2 linked regions of the Coturnix japonica genome follow. Each later gene encodes a partner of the first gene's protein in a complex. Links are inferred from orthologs where the notes say so. Each region holds a gene or a part of one and is shown on either strand. Other genes may lie near its edges.

Evidence for each region. Proteins that work in one complex are often made in the same cells at the same time.
Region 2: the proteins of GPR161 (region 1) and GNAL are in contact, whole or in part, in a cryo-EM structure (PDB 8KH4), measured with the Homo sapiens proteins. The link is inferred for Coturnix japonica from reciprocal best matches to the Homo sapiens genes GPR161 and GNAL. Residues at the interface, in NP_001254539.1 of Homo sapiens: Arg125, Ala128, Val129, Leu130, Pro132, Met133, Tyr135, Pro136, Met137, Ile139, Ile211, Val214, Ala215, Lys218, Ala219, Lys267, Ala268, Thr271, Trp327, Asn328, Lys329, Arg332; in NP_001135811.1 of Homo sapiens: Ala41, His43, Lys203, Val204, Phe206, Phe363, Cys366, Arg367, Asp368, Ile370, Gln371, Arg372, His374, Leu375, Gln377, Tyr378, Glu379, Leu380, Leu381.

What each region holds. Positions count from the first base shown.
Region 1 is NC_029516.1:75,373,221-75,378,998, reverse strand, and holds the end of GPR161 (G-protein coupled receptor 161), read right to left. Parts: coding exon 5,684-5,778; intron 4,681-5,683; coding exon 4,433-4,680; 3' UTR 2,142-4,432; downstream 1-2,141. UniProt on the Homo sapiens protein: Key negative regulator of Shh signaling, which promotes the processing of GLI3 into GLI3R during neural tube development.
Region 2 is NC_029517.1:87,709,150-87,715,132, forward strand, and holds part of GNAL (guanine nucleotide-binding protein G(olf) subunit alpha), read right to left. Parts: intron 5,708-5,983; coding exon 5,653-5,707; intron 4,165-5,652; coding exon 4,091-4,164; intron 2,724-4,090; coding exon 2,665-2,723; intron 2,416-2,664; coding exon 2,295-2,415; intron 1,799-2,294; coding exon 1,668-1,798; intron 90-1,667; coding exon 22-89; intron 1-21. UniProt on the Homo sapiens protein: Guanine nucleotide-binding protein (G protein) involved as transducer in olfactory signal transduction controlled by G protein-coupled receptors (GPCRs).

The DNA of each region.
Region 1 (5,778 bases):
TGGTGTGGCACTGAAAACATCACTGGATCTGAGCTTCACATCCAGACTTCTGCATACCACAGAATCACAGAATGACCCGGGTTGGAAGGGACCTCAAGGATCATGTAGTTCCAACCCCCCTGCCTGGCAGGGCCACCAAACATACACCTTTACTAGATCAGGTTGCCCAGGGCCCCGTCCAACCTGGTCTTGAACACCTCCAAGGACGGGGCATCCACAACCTCCCTGGGCAGCCTGTTCCAGGGCCTAACCACTCTCCTAGTGAAGAACTTCCCCCTAACATCCAACCTAAATCTTCCCTCCTTCAACTTAAAAGCATTTCTCCGTGTCCTGCTATTATCAGCCCTTTTGAAGAGTTTACTCCCCTCCTGGGAGTAAGTTCCCTTCAGGTATTGAAAGGCTGCAATGAGGTCACCCCGCAACCTTCTCTTCTCCAGGCTGAACAAACCCAACTCCCTCAGCCTGTCCTCACAGGGGAGGTGCTCCAGCCCCCTGATCATTTTCGTGGCCCTCCTCTGGACCCTTTCCAAAATCTCCATATCTTTTTTGTACTGAGGGCTCCACACCTGGACACAGTACTCCAGATGGGGCCTCACAAGAGCAGAGTAGAGAGGGACAATCACCTCCCTATCCCTGCTGACCACCCCTCTCCTGATGGAGCCCAGGATCCCATTTGCTTTCTGGGCTGCCAGAGTGCACTGCTGGCTCACGTTGAGTCTTTCAAACCAAACTCATGAATGATGGTAACAAAGCTTGCTACCCAATTATCATTCTCTGAATATACTTCCTTAGGATACGGGGGAATTGTTTTGAATCACAGAATGCCTTAGGTTGTAAGGGACCTTAAAGATCAAGCTCCAACCCCCAGCCACAAGCTAGTTTGCCACCTGCCAGATCAGGCTGCCCAGGGTCCCATTCACTAATAAAAAACCCGAGCATTTTGAAAAGACTAAGCGAAGGCCTCAAGAGCAGAGGCCATGTTTTAGCTGTAGAAGGGACGTGCAGGTCAGCCATCCCAACACAGTTCCAGATATCCACATGTGTACAGCCAATCTCAGCTTCCAAATGGAGGAACTTACTGATACTCATCTCTGAGCTGCTGCTCAACCAGGATTTGCAGCTCCACCATGCACCCCTCATGGACCAAACAGTACGAAGGAGGAACGCTGAAACGAGGAAAACAAGAATAAACACAATCCATCAAAGATACAGTGACAGCCCCAAGACTGACTCGGGACAAAACACTCGGAGAATCTTCTCAAAGACCATTTAGCGATGAAAATAAAGCCCAGATCTCCTGTCACGACACCCAATTACCCTGTATCCAACACCCCAAGGCCTGCAGCTCACTCAGCCCCGCGGTCCCCACACGCACTCAGCCGGCACGACGAAGCCGCACGGCGCCGGGGCCTGCGTCCCGCACACGTAAAAGCTCTTCCCCTTGTTGGGGCCATCGCGGGTGCCGGTCTTCAGAAGGCAGAGGGAGCCTGCAGGGCGGAGAGCGAGATGAATTAGACACCACAACGACAACGACAACCTCCCTCCAACCTCTCCCTGCCATGCCGCCCCTCACCGTGCTCAGCGCACACAACCGCCTCCATCGCCGCACAACAGCCCCGCCCCCTCCCTGCAAACCGACCAATCACAACGAGAGCCTGCTGATGGACCGCCCAAACGAGACGGAACAGCCAATCAGCTCGGCGCTCTGACTTCTCTCCGCCCCTCGCTCAGTTCATCTTTTCGACAGGGCGGGAGGAAGCGGCGCTGCTATTGGCTGGCGCGGACAAGGGGGCGGGACTGCCGGCTCCCCTATGGTCTCCTCAGGCTCTCCAGCTCTCGAAAAACCGCCTGATTTTCGCTTGTGTGTCCATAATAACACGCCTTGTCTTTAAATAAGAAAGGAAGCCCCGATTTATGCCTCTCAGCTGAGAAAGCTGCCTTACTGTTAAGCTTCGTGTTCCTCCTGAGTCTCCAAGAGCCTAGGGCTCGCCACACAGCCTTCCTACACAGGGATATGTTCTTCACCAGAGGGCGTTGCCAAGTTCATACACTAAGCTCAATATATTTCTTCTTACATGAAAGCATTTTAAATAGCTTTAATTTAAAATCAACTATAAACAAATTAATTATAAACAAACATCTTGGACCATTAGAAACTTTTTCCTTCTGTATTTAAGACAGGGGGATACAATCGTACAAACTGTGTGCATTACTGCGTTAACTTATGACAAAGTGATGCTGGTGATAACAGAAATACGCAGAGGCTATAATTTCATTAGCAAAAATATTAACAACGGTCATACTAAATAATGGATTAGTGAAATGAACACTGAGAGCCCAATTCAGTGCTGGTGTGAACAGCCTGAAGACTGAATGTGGCTCAGCGTCATTGTGAGAAATGTCCTTTTTACAAAACACAGGCGATTTTGTGCATTCATACATGACATGAAAATTTTTGCTCCTAAATACCCTTCTAGTTTTGGCCTAGCACGGTCTTCACCCACCTTTGCCCTTTCTGCATTCACAGACACTTGAGCTCAACTTGTTTGGAAGCAGGAATGTGAAAAAAAAGGGATGCAGACAGAACACTTTGAGCCCTCTGAGGGAAGCACGTACCTTAAGGAGCACTGACCAGTACGAACAACTGCAATTGCAGTATTAATGATAGCAATAACAACCTCAGTGCATGGCATTTCCTGGCAAACAGTGGGATCTGGATTTTGAAGTGCCCCAAAGTGCCAACATACCTAACACACAGAAAGTGAAAAAAAATACAGGAGTGTGAAGCTGGTACACACCATTGCTGCTCAGAACATCAGCTTTCCATCCAGTCCACAGCTCGTTTCATTCTGCATTATTCAAAGAGCCATCTTACGGTACTTAAGCGTTCTTGTTTTAAGAGCCCGTTCTTAATCAGCAAACCATGTACTGAATTTTAAGCATGCAATTAAATCTTATGTGGGAATGTCATGGACTGAGGCTAGTTCAAAGATAGGCTGCTCTATCCACAGACAGATGTAAGCTTGTGCTGAAATGTATTTCTGAGTTGAGAAGATGGACCAAAAGGATGTCTAAAATCAGTACAGACCTGAGGCTTTGCCTCAAAACTTATTTTTGTTCCTGTGCCTTTGAGCAAGTTTAAGCAGGAGAATAGACACAGAGTAAATCCAGCCCTTGGTCCATAAGTCCATTTGCTACTGACACACAAGAAACTGACTCAAGAAATGGATATCTACTGATCCATCTCCTTGAAATAAACATTAAGGCAGGGCAGTAACTTCCATAAAGGAAGAAAAGGTCCAGGCTAGGAAGGCACAGGGAGGTTCCTCACGCTGGGTATTCTCATAAGATCCATTTCATTCTTCTTTTCATAACAAACCTTTCCATCTTGCAGCTGCTTTCATTTCTGGCTCAACCATTGCTGCATTCCTCTTTGGCAAGCAGGGCTGATGAGCCCTCTCACACAGGCCTAACAAGGTACATTCCGTACAGTGCTTAGAATGTGCAAGGTGCAATGTAAGTGCTAAACGGTCTTATTTTAGAGATTAATGAAAAATATACGCACTGAGGTAACTATGAAGTTCTACATTAAAAAATAACCCATAGAATTTCCTTCTATAGAAAAGATGAATCCTGCACATATTATTAAAGTGGTAATAACTTATTTATGTCCTGTCAAGATTCCTGAAGCTGTAGGGTGGTCTTTTAGTCAAAGCAAAAGCAGGGAAGAGAGTTGCGGTTCTCAAAGAAACTAAGAACTCTGCAATGCTGTCTTTCTCTAATACTTCTGTGATACTTCCAATGCTGGCCTGCTTCCACCCATTGCATATGGAGAAGCTGGTGTCTCATTAAGCAGAAGCAATACGCAATTAGGTTTCATACCTAGCAGTCTGACATGTGGCCAGAAATATCTGCTAGCAAGGGTAAGAAGAATCATAATGTATATGAGCTCCCTGTAAAGCTCAACTGTTGTCCCTTAGTGAAATCCATGCTGTTATTTGGGAATCTTGACAGTAAGGCTGCACGTAGTAACTAATGTATAAGCTCTCATCAGAACACTTGAGCTATCAGGTACAAATGGATGATCTGAATGTTCAGAAAAGGATCGCTACAATTATTAAACACTGCACATACTTTTCATTCTGTGTCAGCTATGGCCAAAACGAGACAATGTGATTCAATGGACAAAACCAAACTCTGTGTTCCTATGCTCCGCATGACAGGCTTAAGATGTGGCAAAAAGGAGTCCAATAGCACCCTAAACAATAAGTAAATACTGCTGCAAAATGCTGATGCAAGTACCAGAATTCAACTGACATTCAAGTGCTCAAAAAACACTGAAAACATCCCAGCGAGGTATCCTGTTTCTGTTAAAACAGTAACACACATGGTAGGTCCTGCTTAGTGGTTTCATTCAGTTATTTTCCTTCTGTCAAATGTTCCCTTCATCGATGCTCTGAAGCTGAAGCCTTTGGCTGGCATGGGGCCTGACGCCACGCCGGGTGTTCATTCCGCTTCCCGGCAGAGTCCGTACTGGAAACAGAGCTCCTGGTAAAGCACCTTCCCCAAACAAGCTGATTTTCACATCAGCTTCAATAGCTCTCGCTAAACTGGATGCGTAGCTGTCCAGAGATTTATGAACATCGGCTTTTACGTGAAGAACAGAATTCTTTGCGGTTTCTGAAAGGGAAAAAACAAAGAGCAGTATATAAGAACAGACAGCCTGGCCGTGCAAAAGCTTCAATATCAACTCATTTGTAAACGTGCATTTACCAAGAACACCCAGTATTTACAAACCATCCAGTGAGCTCAAAGCTTCAGCTCAAACACAGGTTAAGTAGAGAAAGATTCCCTCCAATTCAGGTGGCAAAAAAAATGTAATCTGATGAAACAAAGTGTTTATACGTGTGTGTTTAATTTCCAATCAAGTGCATGTTGAATGTTTTTCTGAATCTGATGAGGGGGAACAGTTTTAGACTTAAAAATGGGAGATTTTGATTACATATCAGGGAAATTTTTCACTGAGAGGGTGGTGAGATGCTGACACAGGCTGCCCAGAGAAGCTGTGGTGCCCCATCCCTGGAGATGTTCAAGGCCAGGTTGGATGGGAACCTGGGCAGCCTGAGCTGGTGGGTGGCAGCCCTGCCCACAACAGGAGGGAACTAACTGATGTTTGAAGTCCCTTCCAACTCAAGCCATTCTATGATTCTGATCTATGTGCGCTCTTATTATTTCCTAATTGTAAAAGTGAGCTAGGTTTTATCAGTACTCGATGCTTTGAGGTACTCAGTTCATTTGTGCATTGACCACAATAACTTATTACTCAGTAAATTCAGTCATTCATGACCAAGACTTCTAGCTTACACTCCCACAACTATCAGCCTACCTTAAGCTAACCTCACAACACTTACAGGTCCCCACAGTAACACTTTGTTACCGCAGGATCAACATGAGCTGACTGAAAAAAAAGTTGCAGATTCATCCATTTCCAGCCATATCTACTGAGAAACGTGCCCAGTCAAGAAAGTTAAGAACAAAAACAGAAAAAACTCAATTCTATTTAGATCAATGAATCTTTTCAACCCAGGCCATTCTGTGATTCTATGATACAGGCTCAGGCAATTCTAAAGGTCCCGAGAGGCTTCCTAAGAAGGTATTTTGTTCTGAGCGTTTTCATACTTACCCCTAAGCCCACCTTTAATTTGCTCTACTTCATCTTCAAATGTCACTGAACTCCTTCTTCTAGGAGGACAGACACAGTGTGGAAGAGAAGGGCCA
Region 2 (5,983 bases), on another chromosome or scaffold:
TATAAGATCAAAATTACTCACTAAGAACTCATCCCGGATGAAGAACTTGGCTCTCGTGACTTTGGGGTCTTCTCCTGCATCTGGTGTTGCTGTTCAATTAAAAATAAGTTGTATGAGAAACAGGAAGGGCAAATGATTTTCTCTTTTTCATGATAAAAGCTTTAGTGAGGAGGAAGTAGCAACTCGATAGAGAAATTAAAATAATGAATATCCACGGGACACTCTGGATTCATAACTCTAAAATGGAAGGGTACTATCAAGTCTGAAATAAACTTCTCAGCATTTGGTATCTCTCAGGAACCTGAAAACTGCTGATGTTTTTGCAAGTGTCGTTGCTCACAGGTGAGGAGGTTTACTCCCATCCATTCAGTTTGTAGTAAAAGAAGTGGCAGCTGGGATTTATCTTTATCAGAAGATATGACTGGAAGAACAGCTCTCTAGCTTGTGCAGCATGAGAGCCCCTCTGGAACAAAGATTCTAAAGGCAGGACTTTGAGTTTAAAAACATCATAAGATCCAGTGCAAGGTTACACTGGAAGAAATGCCATAGCATTACAAATGCTTTTTAAAAATGTATTTTTCTTCCAGGCCCCACGTGGGCAGAATACTTAGATGTACTGCCACTTAAATATACAGAGCATCCGAGATTAAAACCTTGTTGCACAGGAGACTCATTACTTGGTACTGTCTGTAAGTGGGTTATGACATTTCTGTCTACCTCTGCATGTACCCAAAGTGTGAAAACTAAACAGTGCAGGAAAGAGAGAATCTATTCACTTCCCTTTGGTGTGGTTTCTCCTTGACGAAGATACCACATCAAATGCTTATAAGCGTAATGTGATAAAGGACAGGATTTATCTGAATATGGAAATTTTTTCTACTCTTATCTGGAGCAGCAGGGGTAAACAGAGAGCAGCTGCATAACCAGCGGCATCTTAGAGTTCAGTGCTTCTGTCCTTAAATGACATTGTCTTAAATTAGGGGAAAAATGAGCAACCATGGGTTAAAGACAGAGAGCTGCTTCATGTGTGGATATTCTGGATCACTCAGGATTATGCACTGCAAAATCCTGCTAAGAAAAATGAAAAGCTACCTTATTCGGGCAACTTGCTTACTATGGAAAATGTTCCTTTTAATAATTTACCCAAACTCTCAGTTTTTATGGGGTCTATGCTTGGTACAAAGAGATTCATGTGACAGTGACCAAGGATTTCTGAAACCCTTAGGGTTATAAAACTAGTGTCTGCCTAGCTCAGATTTGGGGAAAGTTTATCCTCTGCACTTCAAAATCGTTATCACACTCTCAGTGTTTCAGCTTAAATGGAAGTTGCACACACCTCATTATTACCTTTAATTCTGTAATCTAAGCTGCTGTTGATGGGAAAAGGAGGATGTAAGCTAGGTCTTTGCCAGACCGCCCAGCACCCAGAGCATCCTGAGGCTGGGGCAGCAGTGGTCCATGCGCTATGACCTCGGAACCCACCGATCCCCACTCAGCAGCACAGGCAGCACAGGATGGAGCAGCCGCCTGACCTCACACATGCTGAACAACAGCACGTGTGCATTTGTGAATTTGCATGTGTGTGTGTGTGTGTGTGAGACAGAGGGACAGGCTATGGAATGGGCTATCCCAGCTTGCCAAATCCCTCAAGTGGTGAAATATCTTACCATCCTCAGGTACAGTGTAATGCGCGTATTCAGGAAAGTAATCTTCAATTTTTGACTTCCCCGCCAAGACTTTTTCAGCCAGCATGTCCTGTTTATTCAAGAACAAAATGATAGAAATGGTCCGTAACCACCTGTCAAAAACAAACCAAATGTTTGGGTTATCTCCGACACATTTATCAAAGGGAACACATCAAACCAATGGAAAATGCACTGGTTGTCCCTGTGTGTGGTGTTTATTTAGAACTCGGTTAAGAGAAAAGAAAAAACGGAACTGGAACTATTATCTCCATGACTACCTGGGCTGATAGATGTATTTATAAGATCTGTGCATACATTTCTAAAATCTCCAGTAGATATCACTGAAATGAACAGCCTTACAACACAGCTTTCTAAACTTAATTTCTGTGTATTGGTATTATTTATTCGCCACTAGGAACAGATTCATATCACTATTTGTTTACACATCCATGCATCACTCTGGCCACTGTGGGTGCACCGCATGGCCTGGCCCTGCCTTGGGCATTTTCTGAATAGTCAGTCTGACCACGTGCTAAAAGAAATCCAAATCTATAGGGAGTGGGAATGTCGCTGAATTTGCAGTGGGAGAAGAAAAGAGGTGTACTTTACCTATTATTCCAGATACTTTTGAAAAGGTCCAGGGATTCCCGTAGTCTGTTTGTGTTATTGTCTTCCCTTATTACCATGTTGTAGCTGCTGCAAGCCACAACAAAGATTATAGCCGTGACATCTGGACAAGGCACACAGAAGAAAGAAGGGAGAGAGAAAGGAAGTTTCTGTTATCCCAGCACATACTCCTCATGGTAATATGGCCATTACTCCCCTATTGCCCCAAAGGCCTCAAGAAAATATTTATCAAATTGGACTTCCGTATTAGTGACACACTATGTTCTCAGCGTAAGTAAAAAAATACGAATGTTAAGCTGCTCACTCTGCACAAAGCAAATTCGTAATAAAGATGTGGAACATTTCTACTTACCGTTAAAGCATTGGATCCATTTTCTTCTCTCATCTCTTTGGCCACCTACATCAAACATGCTGTTAAAAAGCCATAGGATGTTATGTCACTCATGTGCATTAGGAAAGTCACATGAAGCATGCATGCAGCACAAGGGTTCAGTTTATGAATCTGGCAGCTTTGAGAATAGTGGCAGTAAAATAACTGCCTGTAGGGAAGAGAGGTTTGCGGCTGCCGTGCTGCATGCCAGAGCACTGCCCCATTCCACCTGCCCTGCTTCCCCTGGGAGAATCATGGAATCATTTGAGTTGGAAGGGACCTTTAAAGGTCGTCTAGTTCAACTCCCCTGCATTGAACAGTGACACCTACAGCAGATCAGGCTGCTCAGAGCCTCATCCAGCCTGACCTTGGGATGTCTCCAGGGATGTGGCATCCACCACCTCTCTGGGCAACCTGTTCCACTGCCATACCAGCCTTACTGTAAAATACAGTAAAATCTAAACCTGGGATCATTACTGTGGCCCTCCTCTCAATGCACTCCAACATGTCCATATCTCTCTACTGTACTGAGGACTCCACATCTGAACACAATACTGCAGGTAAGGTCTCACCAGCACAGAGCAGAGGGGCAGGATCACCTCCCCTGACCTGCTGGCCATGCAGCGCAGTATACAGTTGTATTTCTGCACTGAAAGGGCACACTGCTAGCTCATATCCAACTTCCTATTCACGACACCTAAGTCCTTTTTGGCAGGGCTGTGGTCTACCCTTTTGTCGCCCAGCTTGTACTGACAGTGGGGTGCAAGAATACCACCAAATCCATATAGTGAGAAAAGCACTGGCCTTTGTCATGTAGAGAAATTCACATGGTATAGACAGTTGGGGCTACTGTACTATGAACAAGCAGAGGTTTCATCATCTTTGAAGTGTGGTAGAGAGAGTACATGCATTCAAGGAGAGGGACACAAAGGCAGCTTGTCCCCCATCAGCACTGACACCTTGTTGGATGAGAACCAGTGTGGAGGTAGCCTGGCAGTACCTCAACAGAGATACTGCGCAACACAGAGCTTGCAGCTCTCCAGACAGAGAAGAAAGAAGGATATACTGAACTCTGTCCCAGTGTTCAAACTGTGTCTTGTGGAATGACACCATGTTCTGCGAGATCTCACCCCAAAAGTATGAGTTGGCAGTGCTATCTAAATGAATGAATTAGTAAAAATGGCCCCACAGCAGAGCAGCGCTAATACGTGACTAGTACCACCTTTTATTTTTTCAGTGAAGTATAAGGGAATTTTACTGGGATCCAGGGAAACAGCTAAAAAACCCCAACTAAACCAAACAACCCTGATATTCACCCTATGCCTGATTACACCAGGAAGACATGAAAACAGACATCTGAGTTGTTAAGATTAGTAAAACACTCATAAACCATTACAAAGAGACTTACTGGAAATTTACTTTGTCTACTTGAAACCTTGTTTCAAAAATCCCTGATGTCAAAACTCTGCATCGTAATAGGTCCTGAAAATGAGAACATGGAAGCTGATTAGTTTCTTTTTTATTCTAATTTTATTTCTAAATGTACGCTATAGTATTTTCCATGAAAAGGTACGTTCCATTTAATTAGAGCTCCATCAGACTTGCTGGTATACCTCTATGTGTCCATTCTCACACAGTAGATATACAAACATCATATTTGAATCTAGCTTGTGAATACCATATGCACGCTCTTTTTAGTGCACACTGGTATCTATTATTGGCACACAATTTTATATGTGACGTGGATAATGAATTCTGAAGTTACATAAAACTAAGAAAATACGTTGCCTTGTTGTAAAGTCAAGTACTCAGCTGTAAGAAAACTCCAGATTTACAGTTGCCCAGGCAACATTAATTCTGCACTCCTTTGTACTGAATGAGACAGGAATCCTATCGAAATAATAGCTTGTGACTAAGTAATTAAAGCTCTATTACAGTGCACAAGGGAACAGAATCTAGGTTGCAGGTAAATCTGGCATTCCTTTCTTATTTTTCATGCTAGCAGTACTTTATAACTTAAATGGCATTTTCTAATAATTAACAAACAATGATTTCCTAGGTTCTCAAAGGAGGCAGGCAGAAGCAATTTATGGTGCACATCTCAAGTAACCGGCTCACTCTGTGCCATCACCATCACCAGCAGTTTTTTAACCTTGACTACCCAGTACTGCTGCTGGAGGAGAAGTTTTCTGCCTGTCAAATACCAAAGTCCTCTTCTGATCTTTGGAGACAAAGGACATTTCTTCCCAAAGAAAACATCAAGAAAAATTTTGAGACAGCTGAATAATGAAGCCACTGCCAAATCCTCCTATGATGAATGACTGCTCAAGGTAGAGAAAGACCCTGCAAGAACAAACAGGGCAACACTACAATAAATAACAAAAGGAAAAACAAGGCTTTGCTTTGATGACGTCTCCCTTCAGCAGAGTGATACTGATGCTAACGTCAAGGTCTACATGGAGTAAATCTTAACGCAACCACTTTTGTTTGAAAAAGTATGGAAGGCTTTAATAATTTATCCTGTATCAGGTCGACTACAAGAAGCCCTAAGGCCTGCTGCTGGTGCTCCCCCTGAATTTGGACACTGGACACCTCTCCTTCTTGGCTTCCATCACTTCCATCACTGAAATACAATACAGGTACTGCATGGCGAAGGCTAGTGATGGAAACTGTAGGCTTCTACATTTATGTTTTCCGTTTGCTTTGTTTGTGGGACACAGAATGGAAAGCAAGGAGAAATAACAGATGTATTACAGGAATCACGACCTACATATAGCAACAGTAAAACACAAGCCTACAACACTGAAAAGCTTCTTCTTCTTTAACATCTATTATTTAAACAGCTAGACTGCATTTTGTAATTATGTGGTTTGCTGCATTTCAGCTGCTGTTTGGACTAAACCAAATTACACAAAGAATCTGTATAAATGGGTGTCTTGGTTCAGCCCTTATCACATTAATTACACTAACCTGATCTGTGGGTGTGTAGTCATCCATGCTGACGCTGTCGATTCTTTCTAAAAAGCTGGAAGAAAAATAAACATGCATTTAGATACGTAAAATCCTGTCTAGTACAGCACATTTTCAGTACCTTTTCTGGTTTAGATTTCAGCTGCAAAGTAATGCATCAGTGAAACGTTAAATGTATGAACCCAGAGCTTTACTTATGTTGCTTGTGGTTCTAATTTCTGAGCCAAATAGCTTTTCACCCAGGCACTGCTTCAACATAGTGCTTTTACACTTATTGTTAGGTAGTACTCACAGACAGTCCAAATGCAGTACAGTGTCACAATTTGGGAGG